Bombyx mori: one gene and its partners. The protein of the gene in region 3 interacts with the protein of the main gene of each other region in a pairwise test. Links are inferred from orthologs where the notes say so. Each region holds a gene or a part of one and is shown on either strand. Other genes may lie near its edges.

Evidence for each region.
Region 1: the proteins of PAN2-PAN3 deadenylation complex subunit PAN3 (region 3) and PAN2-PAN3 deadenylation complex catalytic subunit PAN2 interact in binary tests that used the Drosophila melanogaster proteins (3 or more experiments, as listed by UniProt). The link is inferred for Bombyx mori from reciprocal best matches to the Drosophila melanogaster genes PAN3 and PAN2.
Region 2: the proteins of PAN2-PAN3 deadenylation complex subunit PAN3 (region 3) and cyclin-K interact in a two-hybrid assay, tested with the Drosophila melanogaster proteins (3 studies listed by BioGRID). The link is inferred for Bombyx mori from reciprocal best matches to the Drosophila melanogaster genes PAN3 and CycK.

The regions. Positions count from the first base shown.
Region 1 is NC_085114.1:5,146,429-5,157,229, forward strand, and holds part of PAN2-PAN3 deadenylation complex catalytic subunit PAN2, read left to right. Parts: intron 1-234; coding exon 235-331; intron 332-1,828; coding exon 1,829-1,924; intron 1,925-2,794; coding exon 2,795-2,911; intron 2,912-4,595; coding exon 4,596-4,677; intron 4,678-5,478; coding exon 5,479-5,636; intron 5,637-6,938; coding exon 6,939-7,185; intron 7,186-8,617; coding exon 8,618-8,760; intron 8,761-9,316; coding exon 9,317-9,507; intron 9,508-10,668; coding exon 10,669-10,753; intron 10,754-10,801. UniProt on the Drosophila melanogaster protein: Catalytic subunit of the poly(A)-nuclease (PAN) deadenylation complex, one of two cytoplasmic mRNA deadenylases involved in general and miRNA-mediated mRNA turnover.
Region 2 is NC_085129.1:15,381,044-15,392,321, reverse strand, and holds cyclin-K, read right to left. Parts: upstream 5,392-11,278; 5' UTR 5,109-5,391; coding exon 4,522-5,108; intron 3,638-4,521; coding exon 3,451-3,637; intron 2,865-3,450; coding exon 2,400-2,864; 3' UTR 2,345-2,399; downstream 1-2,344.
Region 3 is NC_085107.1:5,725,607-5,736,407, reverse strand, and holds part of PAN2-PAN3 deadenylation complex subunit PAN3, read left to right. Parts: coding exon of another isoform or gene 1-10; intron 11-282; coding exon 283-408; intron 409-2,933; coding exon 2,934-3,021; intron 3,022-4,308; coding exon 4,309-4,389; intron 4,390-4,914; coding exon 4,915-5,040; intron 5,041-7,049; coding exon 7,050-7,148; intron 7,149-7,941; coding exon 7,942-8,181; intron 8,182-10,801. UniProt on the Drosophila melanogaster protein: Regulatory subunit of the poly(A)-nuclease (PAN) deadenylation complex, one of two cytoplasmic mRNA deadenylases involved in general and miRNA-mediated mRNA turnover.

The DNA of each region.
Region 1 (10,801 bases), on a different chromosome or scaffold from region 3:
AGTCCGGTCACGATTCGTATCATAAAACGAAGCGCCATCTATCATAATTTTTTGGAAGTATGCCAGAAAATGTCTTCGATACTGTAACAACAAAAAAATTAACTCAATCTGATAAACAAATGCACGTATGAATATACAGAGCTATAAACGCAAATTATTATTTACATATCGGAATATTTTAAATCGTATGAATGGCTCTAGTATATATCTAAGTACATAAATGATATGTTACAGAAAACCAAAGCCAGTCGATCCTGAAGTTTTGAAATCGATGAAAATGCAAGGTCCAATAGGATACGCGCCTAATCCGAAAACTTTTAAAAGGAATCAGGTAAATAAATATTATTCATTGCCATTCGCCACTTTAAGACGAAGAACTTAAAGTCGAAGTCTAAATCGTATAGTACAACGCTCCCACCCCTCAAACTGGAACGTAAGATGATGATTTAGCGGCAGAAACCCGCAGGATATTGGTACCTACCAGTGCGGGCTTATAATTACCGTCCCTACCTTACTAGACCATTACTATATGTCTGTTGACGATCGTAATACCCTAGGTACTCGAGGAAAACTGCTGCTAATTTTCCTGTTAATTTATAGCACCCACGGAAAGAAATTTTTTCACTGGTTGTAGGACCTCTTGGGAGTCCGCACGGCTAGGTACCACCACCCCGCCTATTTCTGCCGTGAAGCAGTAATGCGTTTCGGTTCGAAGGGTGGGGTAGCCGTTCTAACTATACTGAGACCCTTAGAACTTATATCTCGAGGTGGGTGGCGCGTTTACGTTGTAGATGTCTATGGGCTCCACTAACCACTTAACACCAAGTGAGCTGTGAGGTCGTCCACCCATCTAAGCAATAAAAAAAAAAAAACGTATTGCTATCATTTTAATACGCTTATTAGCTTCAGACGTATGTATGTTTGTATGTAACGGAATCTTTGAACATGATTTTGACCCCCTTCAAAACGTCGGATTAACTCGAAATTTGGTATACTTATTAAGGACCGATGACAGTTCAATATTAAAAAAAATATTGAAAAACTTTGAAATTCGACTAAAAAATGAAAAATAAATAATAGTTTAAAAAAACTAACAAAACATGCTTTTGTAGAAAATCCAACTAAAAAATAGAAAATAAATTTGAATTATAAATTGTGTAAGAAAAATTGATTTTACTGTAAAAAAAAGCGTGGGGTGCATGGTATCAGTAGCTATAAATGTTTTATGAACAGATATGAGTAGAAGGGTTATTTTGTTAAAATCCTGAAAAGCACCCCACGCTTTTTTACACTAAAATATTTTTTTCTTACACTATTTTTAATACAAATTTATTATAATTTATTTTCTATTTTTTAGTTGGATTTTCTATAAAAGCGTATTTTGTTAGTTTTTTTAATCTATTGTTTATTAATCTTGTTTTTATGGCCGGTGGTCGAACCTCCTACGACGTCCCCGCGCCTAGGGTCGCGCGGCGTACGTGGACTGAACGAGCTCCAAATGTTGGGAGTGGACCGCGGGCCCAAGGATGGTGTTCAGGCCCCTATACACTTATCAACTCCTCTGCACTCTCACCCAAGTGTCCGATCCCCCCAAGGTCAAGGGTCAAGGGCGGAGTAAGGGGTTACCGCGGTCAACACCTACTGCCTTTATAGCCGACGACACACCGCCTATTTTTAAATATTCATAATATTTTGTAATTTGCGAATCTAATGCGATTGAGTGAGTAATAAATAAGTAAACAAAAACTTCATCGTATTTAGAGCTTTATTTACAATATATTCTTAAACAAAGCGAAGTAATTTTTTTTTATAACACATTTTAACACAGATGCCGTACCTTGAAGAATCGTTAGAAGAAATGAGTATATCAAAAATAAATGGAAATAAAGTAATAATGCAGCCGATACCGAAACATTATCAGAAGGTTTGTAGAAGTTACCCTTATATAAAAATAATAACGTTTTTAATATCTATAATAAATATAATGGTGACCAAATTTTTATGCAATGTAATAAATATACCAGCATAATGTGAGCATTCATTGTCTTTTTATACATTGAAAAAATTAAATTATGGAAGCCACTTAAGAAGAATCTTATCTAGAAGATTGCACAAAGTGGGAATGAGTTGCTCGCTCCGGGAATTTCAATATTGTAATAATTGTTATGTTATAATTACTTATTGTAAAAATGAATATTTAAAAAAAACTAATATTTAAAATAAAATTAAAAATCTAATATTTCAAAAAAAAAAAAAAAGACATGCCCGCTGAGTTTCTTGCCAATTCTTCTCAGGACGGAGGCTAATTCTTGTGAATTGGCGGTAGTTCTTTTGACGTTCAACAAGTATGTACTTTCATTTATGTTGAATAAAACTTTTTTGATTTGATTTGATTTGAATTGTTTTATTGAGTTTTGAGTAACTCATTTACTTGTATGTCGGTTGGATTGGAATATTGTAATCTATACTAATATATAAATCTACAGTGGTTTTTACGGATGTTCCGTTATAACTACTAACTACATCCGATTGACTTGAAACTCGGTATCCATGTAGGAAATACATGTACTTAATGGGTAGGCTAATATTTACATCAGTGTTGGACTCCCTAATAATAATGACTATAAATAGTAATGTTAATTTTAAATATCCAGCGAAGCGGGCGAGTACGGCTAGTTAAATTCTAAATTAACCTCTGAACTAATAGAATTGAAATTTTAACTCTGAATTGGAAGACGGTGTTTGTACTAATAACTTTTATATGTAGTTTTTTCAACATGATTGTGTATTTCAGCTCGACATACGATATAATAAGCACGGTCCGAATGAAGAATTAGAGAGTTTCAATAAAACAGGTCAGCCCGGACTGGAAGCGACATTACCGAATTCATACTGCAATGCCATGTTACAGGTATGTATTTGAGTAGATCATATTATTCTATGGGTGAGGATCGCAGAATTTTAAACTAAAGTAAGGCCAACCAGACGAGATAAAAAATGTAAACTAAGTTTCAGGAGTAAAAAACATTTTTATTTAAATAAATTATTACAAAGTTCGAATTTTAATCGCTGTCATCTGTACTAGACAAAGATGATTCGTCGGAAGAGTCCGAGTCAAAATTATGGTAGTGGTACAAGTACAAATGAATTAATAAATTAACTTACCTTTTGACGCTTTTTGCGTGGTGAATTCATTTTAGAGCCGCCAGGCTGTGATTCCATAATTAAAATCAATAACTAAGTACTCACAATAACAGCAAAAATCAAAAATAAAACTAACAAAAACGGAATAATAAAGTAAACACGGAAACGAAAAAATATGTATCACTTCGAACGCAATCCAAACAGGAATAAACTTGTTCACAAAATGGCGGACCAAATGTTCACAACTGCGGTACTCAGTGCTTTCCTGTACCACGAAACACACAACGACAGCTGTTGTCGACCAACTGACGCCATAACTGCGCGTACGAGTGATAAGGACAGAGATAATAATCCCTCGCTATCGCAAATACGCGAGGAATGGCGACGTCTGGTGAAGCGCACCACCAACCCAAGTGATGACCACGACCACTCTGCCAAGAGTGCATACGACTGAGAAGAATCGCAATGTAACTCACTAACGGTCCGCTTGTTTACGTTTATTATCTCGTCTGGTTGGCCTAAGTTTAGGACGAAAACAAGGCGTATATTAATTTTTGAACGTTCCATTAGTTATATAGAAAACACACACCCTGTATTGAAAATTGTATTGAAAATTTACGATTGATTGATGAAAATCACCCAAGAATCAATATATCAATAGTTTCAGATTTATTTATCAGATATTCTTGAATTTCTCTGAGCATCTTTACCGGAAAGGTATAGTTAGTATTCGCTGAATTTATGTGGATGGATTTTTGCCTTTTCTCACGGTATTTGCAGATTGCATCTTTAACAGTCCCCATCTTTTCGCTGTTTTTATTGCTTAGATGTGGGGGCGAGTTCACAGCCCACCTGGTGTTAAGTGGTTACTGGAGCCCATAGACATCTACAATGTAAATGCCGCCCCCCACCTTGAGATATGAGTTCTAAGATCTCAATATAGTTACAACGGCTGCCCCACCCTTCAAACCGAAACGCATCCTGTACTGCATCGTAGTAGTCGTATGATGATGAAAACTGATGATTGATTGATGAAAATCACCAAAAAATTAATATATCAATAATTTCAGGTGTATTTATCAGATATTGTTGGATGGATTTTTGCCTTTCTCTCACGGTATTTGCAGATTGCATCTATTTCAGTCCCCATCTTTTCATACATAATAATATGTTGCTTACTTGAGGTCCATAAAAGGACATGCATATAAAATACATTTTTTCTAATTGTTGACACATTAAAATACTCTTATTTTGCGTAGTTAAGCAGAAATGATTCGAACCCCCGTAAAATGGTACCATGCTATCTTTGATCTTTTCGGATTTGATCTTTTGATCTATTCTATTATTAACAAACCATTTGATATCCACGTAGAATTGTCTTAACATTTTACTATTTCAAAACTGTAAAAGTAGTTTTCGATTTTGAACCTTATTCGCTCACCTTAACGCAGGTTTTGTACTACACGCCGCCGGTCAAAGCCACGTTGCTAGCGCACACGTGCGCCAAAGAGTTCTGTTTGAGCTGCGAATTAGGTAAGTCTGTGTTTTTTTTTCGTATTATCTATGAAGGATATCGATTCAAATATAGAACACTTGTGTCTATGAACATATAGGGCACTTGTGTGTCTTGTGTTCATAGGAACAGAATAAAACGGATATTTCATTACAATTACAATGAAAAAATATGAAAAGAATAATTATTAGATAAATAATCATTGAAAATTTCAGTGTATAGGCTTTCAAACTAATATTATGAATGTGAAAGTGTGTTTTTCTTTCTTTTACGTCTAAATGAAACAACGAATTGACATGATCTTCTTAAAAGTGATGTATATATTGTATATATGTGTATATATATATATATATATTTATTACTTAGATGGGTGGACGAGCTCACAGCCCACCTGGTGTTAAGTGGTTACTGGAGCCCATAGACATCTACAACGTAAATGCGCTACCCACCTTGAGATATAAGTTCTAAGGTCTCAATATAGTTACAACGGCTGCCCCACCCTTCAAACCGAAGTGCATTACCGCTTCACGGCAGAAATAGACAGGGCGGTGGTACCTACCCGTGCAGACTCCCAAGAAGTCCTACCACCAGTAATTACGCAAATTATAATTTTGCGGGTTTGATTTTTATTACACACGATGTTATTCTTTCACCGTGGAAGTCAATCGTGAACATTTGTCGAGTACGTATTTCATTAGAAAAATTGGTACCCGCCTGAGATTCGAACACCGGTGCATCGCTCGACACGAATGCACCGGACGGCTTATCTTTTAGGCCACGGCGTCTTCAAAGTCTCTCACACTAGTGCATTTCACCGTCAGGTTTTCTATTTCGCATGCTGGACACGTCTGGCGGCACCCCTTGTCAGGCCACAAACTTCCTACGCGCGTTTCGTACGGTCCCCGAAGCGGCTGCCCTAGGACTGATACTGCCGGATCGAGCGCCCGACATAAGAGTCGATTTGGTAGCCTTAATACAGGTAATAAACAATATTTTATTAATGTTTTTTTTTTTCAGATATATTTTATTTTGCTTCGGTCTGAATTGGATTTTCTAATATTATTTCTTTAGATGTATATATTAATGTGTTCTTTTATCCTTGGATAAATTATTGATTTAACCCTTGGATATTATGGTGAACAGTAAAACTATAACCAAAATTGAGTTGTTCTGTAAAGAGTAAATTTTATTTTGTTACATCAACTAGTTTTAACACCAAAACAATCTTTAACATGAATTAATCACAAACTCACATGTAAAAAGAAACAACATTTAAAGCTATTGTTTCACCAGTTCGTATTATTCTTTATTTTTTCAATATTCAAATTACAATATATAAGTTTCACTTGTTTAACCTTTTTTTTTTGTATTTGATGATTTGTAATTGTGTCTTGATTTGGTTTATTTCTTTTATTTGTGTTTTTATTGTAAGTCCTAGTTTATTTTTAATTTTTTTGTAAAATAAGTTTAAACTGATGGCCGTGTTGCCGATGCTTTCAATAAATTAAAAAAAATATATGACAGAATGTCAATATGACAGACCAGCTCCATAGAATCAGAAAGTTCACAGATAAATTATACATCGCAGTTATTACGTAGCAAATACAAACTGTACAAACTAAATGAAGTATCAAGCGCTTTGTTTACATTTATGTATAAAACTGTCCCATTTCCTCACCATCGGCCCACAGATGTCCACAGCTGGACCCAGGTCTCCTCGCAGGTTTGGTGCAACTACCGGTCTTGCGCAATCCACATCTAGATACCTTTAGCAGGTCGTTGCTCTACCTCGTGGGAGGCCTACTCTTTCTCTTATTTGTCTTTGTCCTATTATATAACTATCTATCTATTTACCTGTCATTTGAGCTTCATAATGTTTCAAACTATATTATTGATATTAGGTCTGTCATTATTGACGACAGTATGATTCGTCAGGTTGTATGGGGTAATCGAAGCCCATATACACTTACACGTTGTTTTACAAAGTTTCGATTACTTTTTTTTTATTGCTTAGATGTGTGGACGAGCTCACAGCCCACCTGGTGTTAAGTGTTTACTGGAGCCCATATACATCTACAACGTAAATGCGCCACACACCTTGAGATATACGTTCTAAGATCTCAGTATAGTTACAACGGCTGCCCTACCCTTCAAACCGAAACGCATTACTGTTTCACGGCAGAAATAGGCGGGGCGGTGGTACCTACCCGCGCGGACTCACAAGAGGTCCTACCGCCAGTAAGCGCTGTTGACGCTAGTTTATATAAATACGTTCTTGCAGAGCTGGAACCGCTTCATCCTGCACCAGATTCATTACGAGATCCTCGAGACCCGTAAGAAGGAGAAGGAGTTAGCGCTGATAGCGAACAGTCCGCCCAAAGCACCACGCGCGTCCAACCCGAAGGAACGTCACTCGCTAATGAACGGACAGTACTCCGAGGAGTGTCAGTATACCGAACTGGAGTTCTTGGGACCCACCGAATTTGATTGTCAAGAGGATGGCGAACTCTGGCCGGGCAGGGATGAAGGTGAGAACGACCAACTTTCACATTGGCGACGGCGTATAATCACGGTCGTGGGGCTTAGCGGATATTTCAGCGCATAAGTCGAAGTCACTTTGCTTTGGACTAACGATTGTTATGCAAGAAACGTACAATATCCTCGCAAATAAAACACGCGACCGTGTGTAAGCTTAAATCGATTTGTGAGTTAAAAACTTATCCGAATCTAAAGGCGATATTTTTACTCGAACATTACACGGCAAATGGTAGATGTTTCGTGTTACTTGAAAATAGATATTTAAAAGAGAAATCAAATTAAATTATAATGACATGTTGTCACGTGATTTAGTCAGGAAATTGTTATTTTGAAATCATTCTCGAACTACTAATCTAATGTTGATATTAAATATAAATTAAATGAGACAAACAAAGATTAATTCTCATTATATTCATTAATATACCGATGTTACAATCGTGAGATGAAAAACGTTTTTTTCTATTTCATTTCACGCAGTCTTTTTTGGAATACAATTTGCAGGTGAGTAAGTTGTTTTAGAAATGTAAAACAGACTCATTCGATACTACGTATATGCATAAAAAAGTGATTAGAAACAAAAAAAAGTACCTTTAAATAGCAGGCCGGACTAAAAGTCTTTATTTTGATTATTTTGATCATCATTTTAGGCCAAAGTAAAGCCAATACCAATTACTGTACTGTCATCGGTCGTAACTTTCAAAAGCCGGACTGCTTTTCGCCGGGCACACAGTTATGTCCTACCGCTAGTCATTTTTTATTTATTTAATTATTTATTTATTTAGGAAACAAACATTACATTACAAACTTATTATAATATTTAAAAAAATAGCTAAAACAATAAGCAAATATGTTTCCACAAACAAAATCACATATAAGTAGAAAGTGAACAGAGAAGATAAATTTAGAAATTGCAATAAACAAAAACAACACAATACGCACATGTTATTATGTACATCAACTTACATTATAAAACTATAATACTCATCGGAGTAAATCACCTTATAAATAATTCAAAATAGCTTTTCTGTTTGCTACAACAAGTGACAAACAAAATATGTTTTCTTTACCTTTTTTATCAAAACGAAAATTTATACACACGAATTGCTACGCATTTACTTTTACTTAAATGAATTGCGATTTTTGATATATACGTATCGACGCTTGAAAGGCAAACGTGACTAAGCGACAATGCGTGAACTTTACAGTAGACTAATTTAAAGTTGAAATAACTGAAATTTTTTTTTAACGAATCTAGCTGTAGGATTGAAATTAATTTAATAGATCTAGAAATATTAATTTTTTTTTGCGTATCGAATATGGTTATTGCCTATCATTTACGTACAAAGCAGTTATTGTCGCTTAGTCACGTTTGCCTTTCAAGCGTCGGTATGCAGTTTGATGCAAACACACGCACACACACAGGCGTCGACGGCGTGGGGCCGTTGCAAAACCACGAAAGTCACGAGCTGAACAACCGACAGGCGCACCGGGAGGAGACCGAGATCTCGCAGCTGTTCGCCATCGGTCGGCATCAGCTCAACCGCTGCTTGAAGTGCAACAAGGAGGTCGGTACACTAGATCGGGGGGCGGGAATAGGTAGGACCTCTTGTGAGTCCGCGCGGGTAGGTACCACCGCCCTGCCTATTTCTGCCGTGGAGCAGTAATGCGCTTCGGTTTGATATCAAACATAACATGAAATGAAAAAGAAATGAAAACGAAATGAAATGAAATGAGGTGAAATGATATAGGATGAAATATAATTTCAGTAAAATGGTGGTCATTTACTGAGGCTTTTCAGTGGACTTTTTGGAGGATCCCGAGAAGTTACATACGTTCAGCGGCTTTGTTTCATTTTCCCATATTTGTGCATTCCCATAGATACTAAACAGTTAATAAACCGCAGTTATTACTCATTTAAACCTTAAGAAACACTAAATAGACAAAATAAAACAAATCACACAACCCCATTCCTCGCGTTCCCGCCGAAAAGTCATGATATATTTTCCAAATTTTAAATTTTAAAAATGGTGCTCCTGTAAAGTTGCAAAAATGTCGATTAAACCCAATCCAAGTTACAATGTTGTTCCATGCACTATAAACAAATGGGAATGTTTGATGCAGGAGGGCAGGGAGTCGGTGGTGCTGGCGTGCGCCCTGCAGTACCCGCCGACGGGCGCGGGCGGCGCCGGGGAGGCGAGGGGCGGATTCGTCGAACTCGTGCGCGCGTCGCTGGCGGCGCGGCGGAGCACGCCGGCGTGGTGCGACCACTGCTCGCGGTTCACACCGACCACGCAGCGAGGGCGACTGCTGCGGTGATTATCACTTCGAACTTTTATTATTATTAAATTATTTTTATTGCTTAGATGAATGGACGAGCTCACAGCCCACCCTTCAAACCGAATCGCGTTACTACTTCACGGCAGAAATAGGCAGGGTGGTGGTACCTACCAGCGCGGACTCACAAGAGATCCTACCACGTGACCATAGACAACTTCCACGATTCGAGATTATAATCGTGTACTACTACTACTACTACTTCTGAACTGGCGCTATGACACCGAAGTGGGTCTTGGCCTCCGACAATAAACTTTGCCATTCATCCCGGCGCTGCGCAACACCTTGCCAGTCCGATACTTAGAGCTCACGTAAATTTCCTTCCACAGCGTCAGACCAGCGGTACTTGGGCCTCCCTACGGGGCGGCGTCCCTCCGGTACACCCGCGTACACCCGTTTCACAGCCCGATCCTGCTCCATACGCACTACATGACCAAGCCATCCGAGCCTCCTTGCCTTCATCTCCCCCAGAATATTTGGCTCACCAAAAAGCCTCTCCACATCCTTGTTTTTCCGGACGTGCCAAGGACCAATAGAAATGTTGCGTCTATTTCTTAGAGGTATCTTGAGGTGGCCAAGAAAATTAATAAATGCGTTAACTTCTTCAAATACGCATTATATTATTATTATTTTTTTTACCAAATAGAATTGACATGCGCGTCCATATTATTTTTTTAGTGTATTTTTTTTTTTTTACAATTGGTGCCACAATTGCGTTTCCTGTTTTGTGGTTGATTCGTGCGATATGACGTCATCGTTGGCCAATCACAGCCATTAATGTATGACGCGACGTTGATTCGTTAACATGCTCCCGGCCTTGGAAGCACCAGGCTCCAACAATTGGAGGTGATCATTCGGAGATAAAGCAGCTCCTATCGTGCGTAATCATTCTTCATGTAAGTCCGATGGGTTCGCTAACCAAAGTAGGGTGTGGTCCTCCTGCATTTCGGGGGTTATGTAAGGGGCTGACAACCCCTTCATGTAAAAAAACTTTTGTTACGAAACCGACAAGAAAACAAAATCGTGTAGCATAAATATTTTTAATGCTTATCAATTTTCATTTGAATTCTGTATAGACTTATGTCTGTAAAATTTGTTATACAAAAATGTAGAAAATTGTGAGATTGATGTGTTTGCAGACTACCTCCTATATTGGCGATTAATTGTGGAGGAGTTACGGTCAGAGAGAAAGCGTATTGGGCTAAAGGAGTACAAAAGGAAATGGTAAGATAAATACCACCTATTACCATCTATTACTACCAACTATTATAC
Region 2 (11,278 bases), on a different chromosome or scaffold from region 3:
AGCTCAAGATAGATGATACATTTTGGGGTCATTGATCTGTATATAGTAATTTTTGTATGTTGACTGACGGTATGTCAAAGAAAAGTTCATCCTATTTGTAAATGTTCTGTTACAACTGTTGCCTTTGACCGATTATTTAGTGTAACTGGGCCACAGCAACAAGTGCAGGGCGCAAACAAGATGCCACTTGTTACAGTTCACTGGTGGTAGGACCTCGTGTCCGCACGGGTAGATACCACCACCCTGCCTATTTCTGCCGTGAAGCAGTAATCCGTTTCGGTTTAAAGGGTGGGGCAGTCGTTGTAACTATGTTGAGACCTTAGAACTCATATCTCAAGGTGGGTGGCGGCATTTACGTTGTAGATGTCTATGGGCTCCGGTAACCACTTAACACCAGGTGGACTGTGAGCTCGTCCCGTATATGCAATAAATAAAATTCATTTACCCACGACTGAATATTGTTCAAACATTAATATTGATTCAATATAATATTAGATCTTGCATAACCGAATGCGTACCTATCGTCAGTTGTCTTTGATAAACTTTAATGAAATTCTATACAGACATTAACTACGCATGCTTGTTAATAAAGTATCGTAAATTAGATATAATTATTAAAATGAATTTCGGTGACTGTCTAGTCGAAAAAACGGCAGCTCTTAATTATAAATCGATTTACGCACAAGTGTTTATAGTCAAATTATATATTATGATGTATGAGATTAGCTTCGTACTAAAACGTTATTTTTAATTATTATTAATTTATATCAGTATTTCTTAGTATTTTTTTTATGGAATGTGTATAATATGTATTTTTTTTACCCGTGTTGTGTTTATGAAATGTGTTCGGAATTAAAGTTATGCGAAAGTTGTTTAGAGTTTAACTAATGATTCTGGGGACTGGTTCTTGGTTACCTGCAGACGTTTGTATTTTTTTACTGGTGGTAGGACTTCTTGTGAGTCCACACGGGTAAGTACCACCACCCTGCCTATTTCTGCCGTGAAGCAGCAATGCGTTTCGATTTGAATGTGGTGGGGTAGCCGTTGTAACTATACTGAGACTTTAGAACTCATGTGTTTGTAAATGAATTTTATAAAGATAAACTACTACATACGTACTTCCAACCTACATAATAAGAGTTTATCGAATTGTCGTTTAGTACACAGAAAGTTTGTATTTCTGTCAGCGCAGTGGTTGGGGGGGGGGGCATTTTAAACTGTCTTTCGGGTATCCAAAACTTCCAGCCCTAGTAGCTTCGAGTTCGTCTGTTGTGATGTATCAAGTCTAGGGTCGTGCGACTGACCAAGGCCAGCTGGAGATTTGGGAGCTTCTCCATCATTGAATCCAGTTCCTCACAGTAAGCATCCGGAGTAATGCTGTAAGAAGCTGTAAAACTGAATTGTTTGGCACTAGACCACCAAACAGTAAACATGATTTTAGGGGTATTGCTTCATTTAGTGCTTTGCCTGGATGCTAAACCAGGCTCTAACCGACATGACCTGATCTGATATTTTTATCGTGTCCATATTGTGAAAAGTATACAAATGTAATGAAAAGAAATTAGAATTTCATATTTTTTTAATAAAAATGATTTGAATTTAGAAACTATTAGCACCTAAATTACGTTTAAAATCGCCAGTACTGTAAAACGGCAACTTCATAGGTTTATATATTAAATGATGATTATACTTTAAAAAAGTATTGGAAATACATATCTTAAATAGCAGTATGGAATTTATTCTGCGAAACAACCGGGATTTACCCTATATTTCTGATTATATCTATCGTATACACCCGGTCTGCCATACCATCTGATATATCCCTTCACAACTCAGCGTTAGATATGCCCAGTTTCAATCAAAGTAACAGCATTATCAACTTCAGTGGTGTTTAAATCATGTGTTCTCAATTTATAACAATCTCTACACTTTACATGATAAATAAGGCAGTCAAAGCGCAAAAGATAAATGGCCCATGATTTATAAAATCGGTAAAATGGTTCGCAGTATGAAAGAATATTACGCAATTTGTTAAGAGTTCGACGTGCAACCTAACCCGTAGACATAACCCGCAGAATTTCTCGCAGGATCTTCTCAGTGGGTCGCAATTACGATCCGGTAGTAGATTCAGCAAAGCACTACTCTTTGCAACGGCCAGTGTTAGCAAATTCTCTCAGGTTGAGTCTGTGAGATCACCTTTTTTAAAATAGGATTTACTTATGTTTGTAGTCAGTATTTACGATGATCACAAAAAAACTAAACCATTCTTTGCGTTCCTCTATGAGATTTTAATTTTAAAGCACGTATGAAATGCACATCTTCGTCCCACAAAAAAAAAAACAAATACTGTCTATATTATTATATTTTAGTAAAAAATTATAGTATCTATAACTTAGGTGCTAGGGTGGCGGATAGTAGGGCCGAGGGGGTGGCCCTGGAGGAGGTCCTCGGTTTGGCAGGGGGGTGAAATAGTTCGGGGGTGGGACGTTGACGGGAGGGAACCTGTTCGGTGCCGGGGGTGGGTCCGGGTATACCATGGGAGGAGGCACCAAAGGGAGCCTGGGAGGAGGAGGGATTGTAGGAGGCGGAGCCGTATACACTGGAGGATAATGCGGTATTGGTGTAAACGGATACGTGTACCGAATAGGCTCGGTGATACCGACTTTGGGGGGCTCAATTTTAACTTCCCCTCCGTTCTTAATGGGCGTGACCACCGGCTTAGTGGCTGCGGTAACGGCGACAGGTGATACGGAAGCTGGCGGTGTAACGGAGGGTGGCTTCTTCTCGTTTTTTGGAGGCTGAGGAACAGAAGGAGGGGAATCGTTCCCCGACGCTTGTGTCTGTGGTGAATATAAATCTAATACCTGGAAATAATATTTACGATTGATTTCCACAGTGAAAGAATAATATCTTGTAATAGAAATCAAGCCCGCAAAATAATAATTTGGGTAATTACTGGTGGTACGACGTCTTGCGAGCCTGCACAGGTAGTACCACAACCCTGTCTATTTCTGCCATGAAGCAGTAATGCATTTCGGTTTGAAGAGTGGGGCAACCGTTGTAACTATACTGAGACTTTAGAACTCATACACTCATACCTCAAGGTGGGTGGTGTCATTTACGTTATACATATCTATGGGGTCTGGTAACCTCCTAAAAATAGGTAGGCTGTGAGCTTGTCCAGCCATCAAAGCAATAAAAAATATATAATAAAACATACTGGATTAACTAGTGTGTCTTTCAAACCCACATGTGTTGTGTTTTTTAAATAAATGTACACTGGCGGCTTAATTATTTCAGTGCCATTGACATTATAAACATACTGCTATCTACCAACTGTGAACACTTATGAACACACATGGTCTCAAATACATATTTTAGCTTTCAAACTGAATACATGTCTGTTCATAATTGACTTTCAGATTTTACTGAATCCTTAGCTCAACATACCTGATGACATATATCCTCCAATAGCTCTGTAGTGATATCCTCAACAAACATGTCCCACCACACTTTGTGTTTAGGTTGCCGTCCATTCCAGTCTGCCACCTCGAATTTACTGAGTTTCCCAGCTAGAAACATGAGAGCTACAGCTATCACTTCAGGCTCCCATTGCAGACAGAGTGTTGTACATAAACTGCAAGAACAAAATAATATTTTTTGAGATTTTCAAAATATACAGGTTTTTTTGGTCCAAGGATTTTACATACACTAAACACCACACACCAACTATATGACAATTTCAGCAAGATAATGACCCCAAACACAAGTCTAAGGAAATCAATATTTTTTTTAAATACAAAACTACAACATTTTAGAGTTGCCAAGTCAAACTCCAGATTTGAATCCTACGGGACATCTATGAGAGGAGTTAACTTTAGTTGAACAAGAACAAATTATTCTGGCAAAGATGCTTTTTATGAAGCTCTGAAAATGGGTGTCATAAAACTTCGATAGATTGAATACAAATGTTATTCAAGCAATGCTCGCGTAGTGTGAGGCTAATAAAAAACGCAACAGAAATCTTAATACAAAATAAATCTTAATATTATATTTTATAATTAAAAACAAATTACACTCTATTACATTGTGAACAACGGTTACTTGGTCACTATTTGGTTTTTTTTTTTTTGAAAAAAATCTTTATCTTACATATTTTATTGTAATTAATTTAATTATTAATTTATCAAATGCTTTTGAATGTTACCATATGTGTACTAAAAAGTGTAGAAATGGTAAGATAATTAAATGTGAATCATTCGTATTGAAAGCATTATATGATTATTTGGGTGCTTTATATGAGAATACTGCTAGAACACAAAATCAATCCGCTGTGTTATAGGTACGATTACTGAACTTCTTATTTAATTTAATTCATTTTATATTTATCACTGCAGGAGCAGGTCAGGTGGTAAAAAAACCCATGAAAATGTGAATTCAAAGGATTGTTTCAATTTAGAGGCATCATATCTCTTCTAATAATAGTCAAATGGCTCTAAGCTATAGTAATCATACGCTTACCTATCATTTACAAATGTCCAAGCCATTTGCACCATCTTCTGTAGTTTTGTCTTGTCGCCCTTCAAACATTTAGCATACTTAAGCAGATACCCATAGGGATGTTCGACCTGAAAGTCAAACTTGATTGTCTGCAGCAAAATTCTTTCGAGTGTCATTACTTCCTCTTTAGGATTTTCACCGAAACTAGCAAACTTTAGTTCCGTCAACAAAGACTTGGCAACTTTAATTATATCTTTGCATTTCTTTGGTGTCTCTTCGACTTTTCCCGCCAGAAACAAACAGCAGCAAGCGGTTATGTACCTCGGAAACGTCCTGAACGAATGAAACATGTAAAAACGATGAAAATAAACAACCCCTGTGGCAACAGTATTATAACCTAAGTCCATTTTAGATCCTGTGTCGATTATGAATCTCGCTCCTTCCTTTCTGTAACGATTCTCAGCATCGTTGTTTATCCCATCACGGAAGGAAGGCGTATTCAACAAATCCTTTTTGTCATAATACCAATAAGGCATTTTGGAAGCACTTGTTTTATTCAAAATAACACTGATATTGTCTGATATCGTCACTAAATAAGTAAGCTCCATAGACAATATAAAGTATTTTAAGCACTCAGGACTCAGGGCTCAGGTATGTAGCCTCTGCAATCTGTTGCCCATAGAGTTACTATTTACTTATTAACTCCATGCTGTTGCCCACAGAACACTATTACTTCTACTGTTGCCATTGCCATTCGTAAATGACACCACAATTTTTTTATTTTTTTTTTATTGCTTACATGGGTGGACGAGCTCACAGCCCACCTGGTGTTAAGTGGTTACTGGAGCCCATAGACATCCACAACGTAAATGCGCCACCCACCTTGAGATACAAGTTCTAAGGTCTCAAGTATAGTAATGACACCTTTAATGACACCTTTTTTTAACTAACAATTTGACGGTTGATCGTATTAATACCTACGGGTTAGGGACATTTAAAAATCCACAAGACTTCAAAAATGAATTTACAATGCAAAAGCTTTTAATCTAGTTTATTTTAGATATTTGCTTGCTATCAGTATTTCCAGATCAAAATATGTACGTAGCAGACCACAGACATCCACTCTTGAACATGGGCCTTCCCCTAACCTCGCCACAGCAACCAGTCCTACACTGCCTGCATTCAGCGGATTACTGCAAGATTCACCAGGTCGTCTATTCTTGTGGGAGATCTACCTACGCCATGTCTTCCGGTACACGGTCGCCACTAGAGAACTTTTTAGCCTCAGCGGCTGTTTTACGTACCTGGGTGTCTAAAGCTGACACACTAGCTTCTAATATTACTGCCCTATCACCCTCTCTTACCATTTAATAACTTTACTTTTTGGGGTGGTATTGGATATTGGGAGGCCCCTAGATGCATACCATCAAAGTAGTGTAGCCATCATTTAATCTGACCTTTTTTTTTTTTTTTTTTTTTTTATTGCCCTTGTAGGCAGACGAGCATACGGCCCACCTGATGGTGAGTGGTTACCGTCGCCCATGGACTTCAGCAATGCCAGGGGCAGAGCCAAGCCGCTGCCTACCGCTTAATACTCTCCACAAGCCTCGTTTGAAGAAGGACATGTCATAGCGCTCGGGAAACACCGTGGAGGGGAGCTCATTCCATAGCCGGATGGTACGTGGCAAAAAAGACCTCTGGAAACGCACTGTGGATGACCGCAGTGGCTCCAGGTAGTATGGATGAACTCTACTCCGGTAGCGGGCGGTGCGATGGTAAAAACGAGATGCCGGTATCATCTCGAACAATTCCTCAGAGCACTCCCCATGGAACATACGGTACAAAATACAGAGGGAACCGAAGTCCCTCCGCAGACCCAGAGGTTCCAAACGATCCGTGAGACCGGGATTATCGACAATCCGAACGGCCCTTCTCTGTATGGAGTCAAATGGAAGAAGCTGGTATTTGGGAGCCCCGGCCCAGAGATGGGAGCAGTACTCCACGCGAGGCCGGACTTGTGCTTTATAAAGCAAAAGCCTTTGTCCAGGCGTGAAGTACCGCTTCGCTCTGTTGAGGACTCCCAGCATTTTGGACGCCAACTTGGCTTTGCCTTCCAAATGACTCCGAAACTGGACATCGCTCGAAATATCGACCCCAAGTATCCCAATACTCTCGGAAGGTTGCAGGGATACTCCTTGGAATTGCGGCGCCACGACAAAGGGGTCCTTCTTCGCAGTGAACGCGCAAACTTGTGTCTTTAACGGGTTGAATTGAACCAAGTTCAATTCACCCCATTTGGAGACTCGCCCCAGAGAGTTCTCCACTTCAGACACAAGTTTTGATCGTCTCTCTTGCACCACGCTCCGAGAGAGACTCTGATGGCCGATATATCGCGCATCCCCCGTGCTGTCATCCGCATAGCAATGCATGCCATCAATAGACAGCATGTCATTGATATACAGGATGAAAAGCGTGGGGGAGAGCACCGAACCTTGTGGAACGCCAGCGTTAATGGTCATGGTATCAGAACAGTCACCGTCTACAACGACCGTGATGCTCCGCCCATCCAAAAAGCTAGCGATCCACTTGCAGAGACCCTCGGGGATTCCGTAAGATAGTAGCTTCGACAGAAGTGCCCTATGCCAGACCCTGTCGAAGGCCTTCGCGATATCAAGGCTCACAGCAAGAGCCTCGCCCTTGCTCTCCAAGGCTTCAGCCCACCTGTGAGTAAGGTATACAAGAAGATCGCCAGCTGAGCGACCGTGACGGAAACCGTACTGTCGGTCACTGATCAGCTGGCGATCCTCCAGATACTTCAGGAGTTGTATATTAATTATTCGCTCCATCACCTTGGAAAGCAAGGAAGTTATCGCGATAGGCCTATAGCTCGATGGGTCCGACCGGTCACCCTTCTTGGGGATAGGGTGGACGTGGGCAGTCTTCCATGAAGACGGAACCCTGTTAGTGCAATAAGAGAGGCGATACAAACGCGTTAGCGCAGGTGTCAGCTCAGGGGCGCACGTTTTCAGAACCACTGCAGGGATGCCGTCTGGCCCGCTCGACTTATGGACGTCCAGGAGTCGGAGTTCCCGCCTGACTGCACACTGTGTAAAGCAGATCTCCGGCAGGGAACTATCACACCGGAGGATGTTCGGTGGTGTGGCACCCCCGTCGTCCACAGTCGAGTTCGAGGCGAAGAGTTTGACCAGAAGGTCAGCCTTCTCTTTCGCACTATGGGCCAGACTGTCATCGGACTTGCGTAGTGGTGGGAGACTAGACCTGCAAAAGTTACCTTCTGCAGCTTTGGCGAGCGACCAAAAAGCACGGCTCCCAGAGGGATAGCTCTTCAGTCGCTCGCCAATTCTAGCAACGTGCTCCGATTTCGCCCTGGCAATAACCTTCTTGTAGGACCTGGAAGCGGCGTTATATTTCCGCCTTTCCTCTGAGATGTTAGGATCCCGACGTCTCCTAGCATCATCCCATGCAACGTATGCGGACCGCTTGAGGTGTGCAGCATCCCTGCTGGCATTGTTATACCAGGGTCTGCTGCGACCCCCAACGGGCACTTCAGAGGAGGGGATAAACAATTCCATCCCCTGGAGCACCACGTCTTTAAGACGGTCCGCACAGACGTCAGGATCAGCAGAGGAAAAGCAGAACCGCCCCCATGGGTAGGATGCGTAAAACTCACGCAATCCATCCCAATCTGCTGACAAATACTGCCAAACTCTTCGATACCTGGTCGTCGTTCGACGACTAGGACGAGAGAGTGGTGTGGCAGCACGGATAAGGCAGTGATCAGACGATCCAAGTGGAGCGTCGACCACCACACTGTATCCGGCTGGATCGGTGGTCAGCAGAAGGTCCAACAGAGAAGGCTCGTGCCCCTCAATATCTGGGACACGGGTGGGCTGTGTCACCAGCTGGGAGAGGCCGTAGGCCAAGGCGAAATCGTAGGCAGCCCGACCCGGGAGGTCAGTGGTTCTGGACCCCAACCACTCTTGGTGGTGAGCGTTAAAGTCTCCAAGAACCACCACCTCCGCAGATGGGTACTGCTCAAGCACGCGGTTAGTCCCCTCTTGCACATGCTCTATCAGAGCTGAACCTGCATCACTGCTGTGGGACCTGTACAGGCACGCGTAGACTCGGGTACAACCCCCGTGATCTACGCGCAGCCACAAGAGGGACAGGTCCCGTTGTTCGAGGCTTCGTAGACGGCGACAACAGACATCTGCCCGGACGAATACACACACCCCGGCTTTACGCAGGAAGTTGTGCTCCAATACGTAGCCGGGGTATTCAAGGTACGAAGTATCATCCGGAGCGGATATCTGCGTCTCCGTCAGAAAAAGGAGGGCAGGCTGCGCCGTCTCAAGATGGTGGTGTACGGCGTCGAGGTTGCTATGTAGACCCCTTACATTGCTGAAATCCACATTAAATGTGGAATGGGGAATCGCCGACAAAACCCTTTTCCTTTTTCGAACTTTCATTATTATTATTTTTTAATTTTATTTGGAGAGTGGGATTGGGTGGGGTAGGATGTTCGAGGCGAAATCGTGACAATACCTGAATAAAGCGCGGAGCACAGTACGTGCTCGACCACGGGTTGCGTGGGCGACTGACGCAGGGCATGGAAGGGCCCCCAGTCCACCCTGCGTGCGATCGCCGGGATCCACTCCGGTCTCCGACTCCGGCACGACGACCGCACGACAGGATTTTTCACCGGTTGGCGGGACAGCTTCCCGGGGCGGAGTTTAGTAGTGACACCCGGGTTCAGGTCCCCAACTGACCGGCGGGCGGCGGCGAACACCGTTTCACTGGGTCTCCCTATACCCCCGTCAAACAATCACGTCCCGCGAGCTCACACGCACGTCTGCTCCGCATGTTCCAGGTATCGCCAAGATTTACCCCAAACAAGGAAGAGGAAAGGGAAGGAATAACACTGGCTCTCCAACCCACACGCCGGAACACAGCTAGGCTATTTGGCGGCGGACTCTAGTTGGAGGGTGGTCGCCAGCCAGTCGGACAAGTCCTACCACCGATTATGTATTCGGCTCCCGTTTTGCACCACCCAGGGGTCACTTGTAGGGAATCGCGGGTTAAACCTACGGAAGCGGGAAGCAATCAACCCCCAACCTTGACCTAAATTTTATTCTAATATTGATCGTCTGCTTTCATGGTGCTTAAGCAACAGTACGGACCTCAATCCAGCCAATTGTTATTCATTTCTGCAGAAGAAAAAACTAAAATTCACCACAAATGCTTTTTCAAAGTAGCGTTCTGACGTTTCTCTAGATACTTATGTACGTATCAGTTCTAGATTTAGGTCGTCGTGTAGATCATTCCTCGCGTATCACGGAGCTCAGACGGCTATCCTGTAGATACGGGATTGGATGACCTGGAGCGAGTTAATGTGCATACGGACCGCGTCAGCGGCTACTACACTTGCATAGGTCATGACGGAACGTATGCAAATTTTGTAGTTTCACCTTGTTATGAAGAGACAATTTACTTCGCTTGCAGATCATGCTGTAGGGTTGACCGAGTAGGAACGCGGCTCGGTCGATGGGTACTGACTTAATGTGGGGCTTGAATGTCACCCCGCTGTTGAGGGTGACGCCTAGGTACTTAGCCTTCGAAGCCCACGGTATGGACTGGCCAAGGATTTTAATGGCGGGAATAGAGTTACCGCGCCGAATTCGTGGCGAGACAACAAATATAGAGGCTAATACTTACAATGATGTTGGGAGGGCGACCCCTTTTGAATAGCATGGCTGTGCCTTTCTGAGGTTGATATCGATATGTCACTTTCGGAATAACTGTCCTAAATTGGTGGCTACCGATTGCTTCTTTGACTTCGGTATAGGTAATGGGTCGTAACGCGTCGGAGGGTGGCAAGAAAGCTCTGCGCTCGACTTCCCCGTCACGGTGTGTTCGGGGTCCGCAGATTAAGCATTGGTGGTACACTGCTCTAGCAGTGCATCGGTTAATGACTCTACCTTTTCATTATCATCGAGAGCCGGGGGATGTCCTGAGGGGCAAACTGGCGATATATATGTTTCCTGTGACTATATCCTGTTCTTGTTCCTATGACTATAGTTTCCGATTTGAGTGTCCTAGCTAGTCGCCAGTACCTTTGGGATGAGGGCGCGAGTCTTTCTAAATAACTTTCCTACCTTGTATTTCGGGCTTCGTCTACGCGAGATTTGACATCCCACTGTAGACGATACATCCGAATCCGGTTTGATTCGGTGGGATGACGATCATAAGCCCCGATTGATGCGTTTCTAACTTTTAGGAGATTCCTGGGCTCGGGGGACAATCTGATGCGATGGAAGAAGTCTTCCTCATTGACTTGATGGGATGCATTGCCCATCGTGGTGGACAGATGGTTTGTCAGGATGTCTATAGATTCGACGATGTCCTGAGGGGACGGGGTGAAATCCAGGCTATAAGAGAGGATTGGTTGGGAGGCTTCTGCAAGGCTGGCGCTCAGTTTCTGCCAATCCACCGTGAGCCTCGTGACTGGTGTAAGGACGACGGGGTTGCATGACGACAAGTCGGTAGTCGGAGCTTGTTGGCACTGTCGAAAGTTTTAGACGAGACGTCTGCAACCTTAATCTTACACAATGAGCTTATTTCTGATGCGTAATAATGTATTTGGTGGTAAATGTAGTAATGTGTAATAAAGTTTTAATGTTATTTTTTTTTTAGAACTCTGAAGCGTTTCTTTTTGTGTTCACGTACTGCTTGTAATGTTTTGTGCTGGTGTACATCA
Region 3 (10,801 bases):
GCGATACTGGGTGCATCCTATTTTAATCGAAAGACTTTCTTCAAGCCTTTTTGTAACTTTATATCCCGACCTGAGACTACACGAATAAAATTCTTTTACTACCTGTATCTTTTATGCATGATTTAAAAAATAATTAGCATTGTGCACTTCTTCTCTATATTCTCTATAAGTGTGGAAAATTTCATACTCCTCTATCTGTGCAATTTTCGTAAAAAGGGATACAAAGTTTTTGCTTTACATATTAATATATATATATATGTATAATAATAGTTTACTACACAGGTATTGGTGAGCGAATTTATTCCGATGAACTACTATGTTCCGCCACCGAATATGCTTCCCCCAGAATCACCTGAGGGTCCACCACCACCTCCTATACCAATGGCGAATGCTTCAACTGTCCATCAGGTTAGTCTATCATTAATGTTACAACAGATTTATAGAGTCCATGATCAGAAGATATTCTGATGGAAAAAACTTCATTTGTGCACGTTTTTAGGCTACTAAATTTGTTTCAACAGCTCTTCAAACGGCTTCAGGAATTATAAAGTTTAAAAATTTTAATTTATCATTTTAATAATTATCATAAAATGGTTAGATTTCACAAATTGTTTACTGCTGTATACCATTGATCAGATCTCGAACCTAAAATTTTCAAAAGCGGTAAAAAAAAATTAGACTGGAAGTGTTTGAGGTCCTTTACCCATTTTTTGTGATTAAATAGTCACAGATAAATTTTTCTTGATATGTAGTAAATCCATTATGGGGTCATCCTTATACTAGCGAAGGAGAAACAAGTTCAATTTCGGATCCTACAATAATACATCAAAGACCTTGATTCAAGGTCAGAAAAAACGCGCCTACCGAAAAAAAGTCTGCTTTTATAACATCTTAAAATGGTAAATTCCATGCGTTTGTCTTCTATTTATCGGTTCTTACGTATTTACACTTGGAGGTTATAATTGCGAGGGTGAGCAGATGCCAGAGAGTTACTCCGTCTTATTTGCAACAATCACGACATGTGTGAGACAGAGTGTCCACTAGGGTTCTACTCTGGGTGGTATATCCACAAAACAAATCATCCTACAACGTCCCGCTCCTACGGGGTATCACAAGTTACGCAAATCACAGGTTTTTTATTGGTACAGACAGATACAAAACCAAAAACCAATTCGTTGCTAACTTGGAACGGTCGTGGAATAATGTCACAAAACGTATATTTATCATTTAACGAGAACATAATTTGCGGCGTGGGGTCATATATCTAATGAAATGAGGAAAATACGATATATACATATTATGTACATCTGTTGAGCCTGTATTTGGTACGGCGCACCAGTATAAGTCGACAGCTCCACTGTTTCTTGCTTCCTGATGAAAATGACTGCAAAGACAAGTTAATGGACGTGATAAAAATATCGGTAATTATGGAAAACTAGTTCCGTCTCAGTAGCAATGCCGCACAAATGGCTCTCAACATCAATAGCAGGTACGGAGTGAATACGACGAAGGCACCACTCCTTATTGGCTTGAACGCTTCCGACATGGAACTCGAACGGGACGAATATCCGGCCAGCCTTAGTTAATCTCTCGTCGTTCTCCCCGGCCCTTGCTCCAGCAGATTACCACTTTTCCGGACTTTGGAAAAAAAACATCAGTATAAGTCACATGAGGCAGTATAAAGAATATTTACTTTATTTACAATACTTACTGAGTCTCCTCACATACAATTTTTTTTTCAATAAAGGAATCAATACTTTTTTTTAATAAATGATTTTCATATTTTTTTGGTGTTTTAATTTTTCCGCACAAAAGGCCAACTTCATAAGTAAGGACCTCCTAATATTAGAATTTTGAAAATATGTAGGTAAATTTGTTTTATGCTGCGTGTTGAATCTTCTGCTGTGATATCCGTGGCGCGAGGGTACACATGTTACGGTAGACTGTAGTAGAACTTTGAAGAAGGAATATCGCAAGTGAAAGATAATGGTTTAATGGCTCACTAAAAGATCCTGCATCCGGGAGAGGTAGTAGGGGCGTGACGATAAACAGTGCAGACGCGCATCGTGAACATCTGATCGACGGGGCGGCGACGAAAGCTAATCTATTTCGGCCAGTCATGCTAGTGCTGCAGGTGTTCCCGGATACCTCGAATGAAAACCAGCTAGTCGAATCAATCACCACCACCGGTCGTTCTTTAAGCTCTGCGCCGCGCCGCAGTACATTGGCGCCACGCGGCCACATCCGAAATGGTTCACTAAGGGAAGCCGCCTCATGCAAGGGCTGCAGTTGGACGTGAGCTCTCCTCTTGCCCCCGGCTTAAAGCCTACGGTTCGATGCAGTTCGAGAAGAGTTCTCTCAATTACACATTCATTGTACCCGAAGTGCTTAAGATGAAGGATACATCAACAGCTAGCAATGATAAAAAATGATAAAAAAAATCTACTGAATTAGCTTGGTGCTTTTTCCAGTGTGACTTCATCAGAATTCCAAATAATTGAATTTGTCTCGAGATGACTACGACTGAGTGTTTTACCGCAATATCTAAAAAAACATCGGTGGTGCGAAGTATTTGCTCGGTATTAGTTTATCATGTTATACTTGTATACATTTAAATCATCTTATTTTCCTTGCTCCACTGTAACGCTCTGTCAACATATTTAAAAAAACTCCACCCTTATATTGCCGATAGAAAGAGGTCGTTTGCGAATAGTAAGCAGTGTGCCTCCAACACAATCGTGGGGAAATTGAAATATAGAATACATGTAGTACACACAAGTAGTCACAAAAAGAACACAAACATAAGTACGCATGGCCTTTTGTAATTATCCAAAACGAATCAGCGTGCTTTAATAGGAATTCACTGTACAAAATAAGACAAGACCATTTCCATTGACATTTATGCAAACGATTATGCAGTTAAATTTTCACAGGAGAACGTGGGAGGAACTACCTATTTCTACTCGACCAATTCAGACAGCCTCAATACCACTAGCGGTCTTAATTCATCGGCTTCCATGGGTAAGTCATCAAATCCACGATAAGTTAATACTTTTAATACTTAATACCCAACTAATATTATGAACAAAATACACTTTATGCCTATAGCTACATTTTTCTAGTAGTAGTAGTTTCCAGTTATAGTAAAGCCTAATAAAATTATGAAATTGTCACTTAGTAACGTAATTTAACGGACAAACAAAGATCACACAAAACCTGCAATGTCGGATCTGTCATCATATTTCAATCATACTCGTATTCATGAGAAATAGCAATAACAAACAATATTCATGAGAAATTTTATTGAAATATCAGCCATTCTCCGGTAACACTACAAATTTCTTGGAATTGTTTGTTCAGTAACTTCTCGGTGTTTAATTACTTTTATTAGAACTGCGGATTGCATCGTTAGCCTCCTATTTATATTTTTTTGTGTTACTCAAAAAGAAACCTAATTGCTTTAAGGGATCAGAATTAAGTTATTTCCTTTTGACTACAACCCACCTTGTGTGTTTGATAAAGTTTTTACATCATTAAACTCGTTTTACGAACAAAAAATGTGGATTCAAATGATACATGATTTTACGTTAAATTTAAATGTAATTTCATGTAAATAAATATCGATATGATATAAAGAACAACATCACCGAATCTGTCTAGAATTCTTAATAATTATTATGCAAAGTTTCACACATACTTGTTGATCGTCGTTGACGATGTATTTCAATATAACAAACTTCGAGCATACCTTAATAAGCTAACCATGTCTGGTTTAGTACCTGCAACCCCCTTGTCTAGACAGTGACTATGGATATAGTATGTTTCTATGTTTCTCTCCGAGGGGTGTCTGGGTTTGACGAACTATTGATTCGACGCGTTTGCAATGCGCGTATGTCGGTCCACTCAAATCAACAACCAACCAAATAATAATATGTATAGAACATAACATGAATACACGAATAAAAAGAAGAAACGGACATTATTATGAAATATAATATATATGTTAGCATTAATAGTAAATGTACTTAAATGAAAAATACAATACATAAAATTGTTCTTTCAAACCGGTACGCCACAGAAAAAGGACTCGAGATAAAGTATGCTTCTTTTGAAAACTGTTTTTAAATTATTCACGTGCTTCCGCTTACGAACGCCAATGCAACTCACCACTGAAGGGGCATGGAGTACGAATATCAATAATGCAATTAACGAAATTCTTAATTAGATTCTATGGTCTATGCCCGGTGTTAGCAAACTAAATAATAAAATTGTTTCTTGATATATATAAGTTTCCTTTATTTCGTTTTGTATGGCTAACAATACCAGAAGAACCGTGCATGGACTACTCTCTGCTGAGCACCGCAAGACCATATCCATTGGTATACCCATGTAAGCAAGCCTTTTACGCATGATTTTGGTGTCCATCTGTAGAAACAAAATCATTTTATTTGGTTTGGTTGTATACTATTTTCTATAATATCTGTGTATCTAAATTAATAAATAGAAATCGATAAAATATTAGGTTGGTTTTTTTTTTGTAATTTATTGTGTATTTTAGATTATTTACTAATTTTTATTGATAGTTCTGAGCTGTTTCATCATAGCTTATGTCATATTTTTTTAAATAGTTACAGAGCCGATTACGACACCTCACACGACGCTGGAAACATGCTTATTTACTTTATACAGTATTATTTAGATAACTTAATTGTTTAAATATTTATTTAATAAATCATAAATATTATTTAAATGTTGCATGTACGAATAAGAATAACTTGAGGTTTACATATATTATTTTACTTATTAAATAACGTAAACTCTATTATTGATTAGTGTCAGTGGATATTTATGTTTATGTGTAAAATAATAGTTTTATTGAAACGATTTATCAGGCATATTCAAAGCGTTTTTAAGATTTCCACCAACCAGGTCCGTCTGAGCCATGTCTAAACGCAGTAGGGCCGCCGATGGTGTCTCCGTATGCTTCGCAGATGTACGCTGGGGCCTTACCGCAGCCAGGGCCGTCCACCAACAAACAAGGTTCGTGTTGTCGATGCAATACACTTACCTATTAACAGAATTGAAATTTAAATATACATTTGTAACGATCAGTATAATCATATATATATAAAAAGATTTATTAATAAAAAATATCTATTTTAATGCTGATACAATTTCAATTCTGTCACAGGTATTTCAAGTTTTACTAACAGTGATTGTGTTTGCTTAGTCCAACCGCATTGCCTATTTCTGCCGCGAACTAATTATGCAATTTTCGATTGAAAATTACGATAGTCTATTCGAGATTCGTCAATGTGGCATTGGTAGTCACGTTACTCTGTTGGCTCTAGTGATGGATGATTAGATGAGGCGTAGAACCATTTGCCGATCTAAGCAAACATAATCTCATAATCATTATCACTAATTTGCTATGCGTTATATATATATGATAAAGAAATCTATGTGCTACTTGTGTAGGCAGTGCTTCTCCCATGGCTGATGTTCATCATTGATGGTAACCACTTACCGTCAGATAGGCCATATATGCTTGACTGTCTACATTGAAAAAAGACGAGAGCAAAGTCTAGAAGCAGATGTTTTTATTGTAGAGGCAAAAATATTGGGACAACATAATTAAGACAAGAATTCGATTTGAATCATATATTCCTGTGTTGTGCCACCATTATTGTTCTGGTTAAATTGTTTCAGTATACAATGAAATAACAAATAAACGAGGGTGGTAGGTCCCTTTTTAACATGAAATAATAAAAAAAAAAAGGAGGCTTCAATATATTCATTGCGATGTTCTTTAATCTTATTAGAAGCAACCTGCGTAACATTATAATTATAGTACATCGTTTAGAATGAATTTATAAAAACAAATGCTTGATTCATTTCAAATATACTTCGAACATCCAGGGGGGAGACAATACAGTATTTAATACACAAAGGATCCTTCAATATTGTTCAATCTCATTCGTTTCGCAATATTAGCATGTGTCAATTTCATTATGCTATCAATTTTAAATCTTTTGAATACCTGAACGTTATTTGTCATGCGTCAAAAGGATGGCTTTGTTTAATATTAATCACGTCATGTGATTTATATAAGGGGCGACGTAGTCATCCACATCCTACTAGCCCTGACCCCTGGATCATTAGACTTGCAAAAATCAGCGAAACTCAGCACTAAAACAAAGCATCTTGCTAAGCGAATGAATAAGATTATTTCAACAGCTCGGCTAGTCAATTTATTTGTTAAATTGACCGAGCTATGCTTTGCTATTTCTATAGGAGCGTCGCGTGCCCAAATGTAAAAGCGTAATAAATGATAGTCATTAATATTATTAAACTCTGTAAGATCATACAAATAAAATTATTGATCTAATTTTTGCACTTTAGATATTATTTTAGTTTCCATTCGAATCTGTTGGTCTAATACTCGGTTGCATTAATTACCTTCAGGAATAAGGCACCGATGTGAATTTGAATTTATAAATAAAAAGCGGCCTTACATGATGTAAATCATGTGCCATTTATGATAAACGAACCCTTTTCGAGCTCTCCTTTAGACATCGTTTAGAATCTGAATGTACAACAAAGTGGGATCAGTTTACGCTCTGAACTATAACCACACAATTGCTCGTTAAATCTTCTATACACGTCGAGATGTCAATAACCATAAGAGAGCTTATTAAAGTAAAGCATGGCGCGCAATGTTTAAATTTTAAGGGAATAATTTCCGCGAAGCGCCTGCTCGTTTAAGCATACCTTTACATGACTTTAAGCTTTGCTAATATTATCAGTGAGCGAAACTCGCAGAGCGACATTACTACTATTGAATAGCGCGCTACTGCTAAAGCGCTCCTTCGATAAACGTTGCTACGAAAATCGTTTAAAGAACATTGCTATGAATATAAAAGTTGATATTGAAGCGTATGGGGATATTTCATTTACCTACCTACCTACCTCTTTAAAATATTTTTAAAACTGTTTCATGTTTGTTTAGAAAAAAAAACAACAACAGTTTGAATTTTCATTGTTCGCAGGTCTAGCGGCGACTTTTTACAATCCCGAAACAATACGGTCTGAGATCTACGACAGGAATGATGATGTTTATTTGCAGCCTGATCTCAATCAGTTTCCAGGTACATCGGTTCTAACAAACGAACGACCCGGCACGTAAAGGGGTTTTCGACTTAATTTGATTCCCTTTTTATTAATACGGAAATATGAAAAATAGATATTTTTTCTTATGAGTGATTATTAAGACTGATATCACTCTAATGGCATCGTCTCATAGATGTCATCGAAAAACAATGTATAGATATGCTCCGAACAAAAGTTATATCGCAAAAGATGCTTTCAATTATTACTCAGTAAATACGTCATAATGAAATCCAGTGTCTAACGCTATTCTGTTGTAAAATGCCTCCAATGAAATAGAAATTTTAATGGATCATTAAATTATGAATATGCGTTTGTTGTTGTTAGTTGATCGGTTTTTTTGAAGGGATTTTCTGACCTAGTAACTAAGACCTTTAAGTCATATTTTATTTTAATTTATTATTCTTATTTTTATGAAAAATGATAATATGGAGTGAAATGAAATGAAGATGATTAATTTGCGACATTAATCAACTGGGACGAAATTAAATGTAATGATATGGGATGAAATATAATCTCAGTATAATGGTGGTCATTTACTGAGATTTTTTCAGTGGACTTTTTGAAGGATCCCGAGAAGTTACATCCAGCGCCTTTGTTTAATTTTCCCACATTTGTGCACTTTCACAGATATTAAACAGTTAATAAACCACCACTGTTACACATTTAAATCAGAATAAACACTAAATAGACAAAATAAAACAAATCACAAAACTTCACTCCTTGCGTTCCCGCCAAAAAGTCTAGTTGATCGGTAAGTTCTGTGTGTAACAGATATACCGGACAGCGTGGACATGTACGCCGAGCTGGTACCCCTGGAGGGTGCCGTGACGCATTCGATGTCGACATCGTACCGCGCTACTAACCGTCAGAACGGTGATTATGTGGCTCTAAGGAGGCTCCATTCTTACACGTCGCCGGCCTCCAAGCGTCTTGAAATGTGGAAGCAGATCGACCACCCGAACATTGTGCGTCTGGAAGAATATTTCAGCACCAAGGCTTTTAACGATATATGTGAGTAAATTTAGCAACTTAAAACAAAATGATTACATTTCCAAGCATAATCCATTGCTCGGTCTACATTGTTATTTTAATATAAATGTTTTTTTATGTAAATGCATCTTTTTTTCGAAACATTTAGTATTTTAACGTTTTAACAGTCAGGTCTCAGCTAAATTAACTACTATATGTAAGTTAATAGCGTTATTAGTATTTTGTGCAAGTCATTGTCTGCACATATTGGCAGTTTTTTTTTAAATAGATAATTTTAAATAATGAAAATATAATTATCTATTATTTTTATATTTATCTAATGTATTAAGGTTTGGGCTTTAATTAATAATCATCATCATATTAATGATAACAGTTCTTATTCATTATAATTAAAATTACATTAAAGCAGGAGGCTTTCACGACGAAAAAAGTTCTCTTATGCTGGTAGGAAGATCACAATATAATACAACACTAAGGACTATAACTCTGAAATTACATTTTTTTTTATTAAATCTACTTCCGTTAATATTTCAAATCATAGTAAAGGGCGTTTTTAAATAATAAAAAAATTAACGCAAGGTTTGAATTAAATAGAAAACACAGTTTTTAGTCTTTTGATTGTTATTTTTCTATTGTATCATAAAATACGTAGGATAGGGTTATTTATGGAATAACACATCGGGCAAATTGCCTCCATGGTCTTGCATGCACTTACATATTATGCAAAAATGTAGTTGAATTTCTTTGATGCAGCATTGAATCTTATCCTTTAATGTACGGGTGGTCGTGGATTTGTTCACCTATAACTATGATTACAAATAGCCCCATAAACAGAAATGTAATGGTGTTAAATCACACGATCTAGGGGACCGATTCTGATCACCGGAACGAGAGATTACACGACCTGGAAAGGTCTTATGCTTATGTAGCAATAGGATTGTTTTACGTGCTGTATGGCATGTGGCACCGTCTTGTTGAAACCACATATTAGCCACATCAACATCCAATTTAGGCAGAATGAACTGTGTTATCATGTTGCGATATCGAGCACCGACCGTTCCCCATCAAAAGAAATGTAATGGTGTTAAATCACAGGATCTAGGGGGCCAATACGAGAGATTACACGACCTGGAAAAGCCTTATGCTTATATAGTAATTGGATTACTTCAAGTGCTGCATGGTATGTGGCACCGTCTTGTTGAAATCACATATAGCTACTTCAACATCATCCAATTTAGGCAGAATGAACTGTGTTATAATGTCGCGATATCGAGCACTATTAACAGTCGCTGTTTGAACAGATTCTTTTTCAAAAAGTATGGTCCAATTATGTTTCCAACGTTCCATTTTTATTAACTAACCTTAACTGTCAGCTTTCAAATTGCCGTTTTTTAGGGTTGCCAACTTTGTGCAAATGGCAAATTCAAATCTTGCGTTAATTTTTGAGACACCCTATATTTACAATGAAAAATACTATGACGAATATTTTAAACAATTTCAAATGTTTTAAATGCACACATTGTCATTATCTTGTAAAAACAAAAAATGTTTACGTATAATACCTACCTAAATGTAAATGTGGGCGACAAATTCAAACGATCAATTAAAAGAAAAAATACCCCTCGCTTGTGGTTTATGCTTAATCCAAAAGGAATTTATTTGCGGCGACTAATATGGGATAAGTGTGGTTCACAATTTTTTTCACAGATTTACTTTATATACCTGCCTTAGCTTATAATGAAATGTCTTCATGAAGACCTAGCACTTTATTAATGTTACAAAATTTTCCACCATCACTACGTTTAAAATTTAAAACCATTTGAACCCATGTTAATCACATTATCGGGTTATTGTTCTGCTGTTTTGAAATTCAAAAATGACCGCTATGCATCTTAAGCCTTTTGAATTTCAGTTTTATTATCGTTTTTTTTTTAATGAAAATGTTTTGTCCTGAGTGACTTCATGCAAATGAGTCTGTATTCAGGTGACATATTTCAAGTTGCGTTACATTTTAAAACAGTATTGTTCTGACGAATTAACTGCTAGTAAATTTTATATAATTAATGTCCAATAATGTTAAAATAAATGTCCAATGTTCACATGATTAGTATGTGCCCTTAGTCTCTCAAATCTTAATAAGCCACTAAAATTTAGAATATATCTACATACACGAAAGACATGTAGCTTAGACCAAAAAAAAATTAGACAAATAATTCGATATACATTAAATAGTTTTTACCAAGATTCCGTGGAATCCAATGAAGGTTTCGTAGTGCAACTCACAGACACAGCCCACTGAGTTTCTCGTCGTATCTTCTCAGTGGGTCGCGATTCCGATTCGGTTGTTAGCAAATTGTCTAAGTCTGAGACCTGTGAGCTCGCCTATACGTTCGGTGAAACTATTACAACCCCTCGATGTTGCTATCTATAGATACAGTACAATCAATATCAATAAGTCAAATAACAAGGTTTTCTGTCTGTTTTTCTTTTTACTGGTGGTAGGACCTCCTGTGAGTCCGCACGGGTAGGTTCCACCGCCCCGCCTATTTCTGCCGTGAAGCAGTAATGCGTTTCGGTTAGAAGAGTGGGGTCGTTGTAACTATGCTGAGACCTCAGAACTTATATCTCAAGGTGTGTGGCG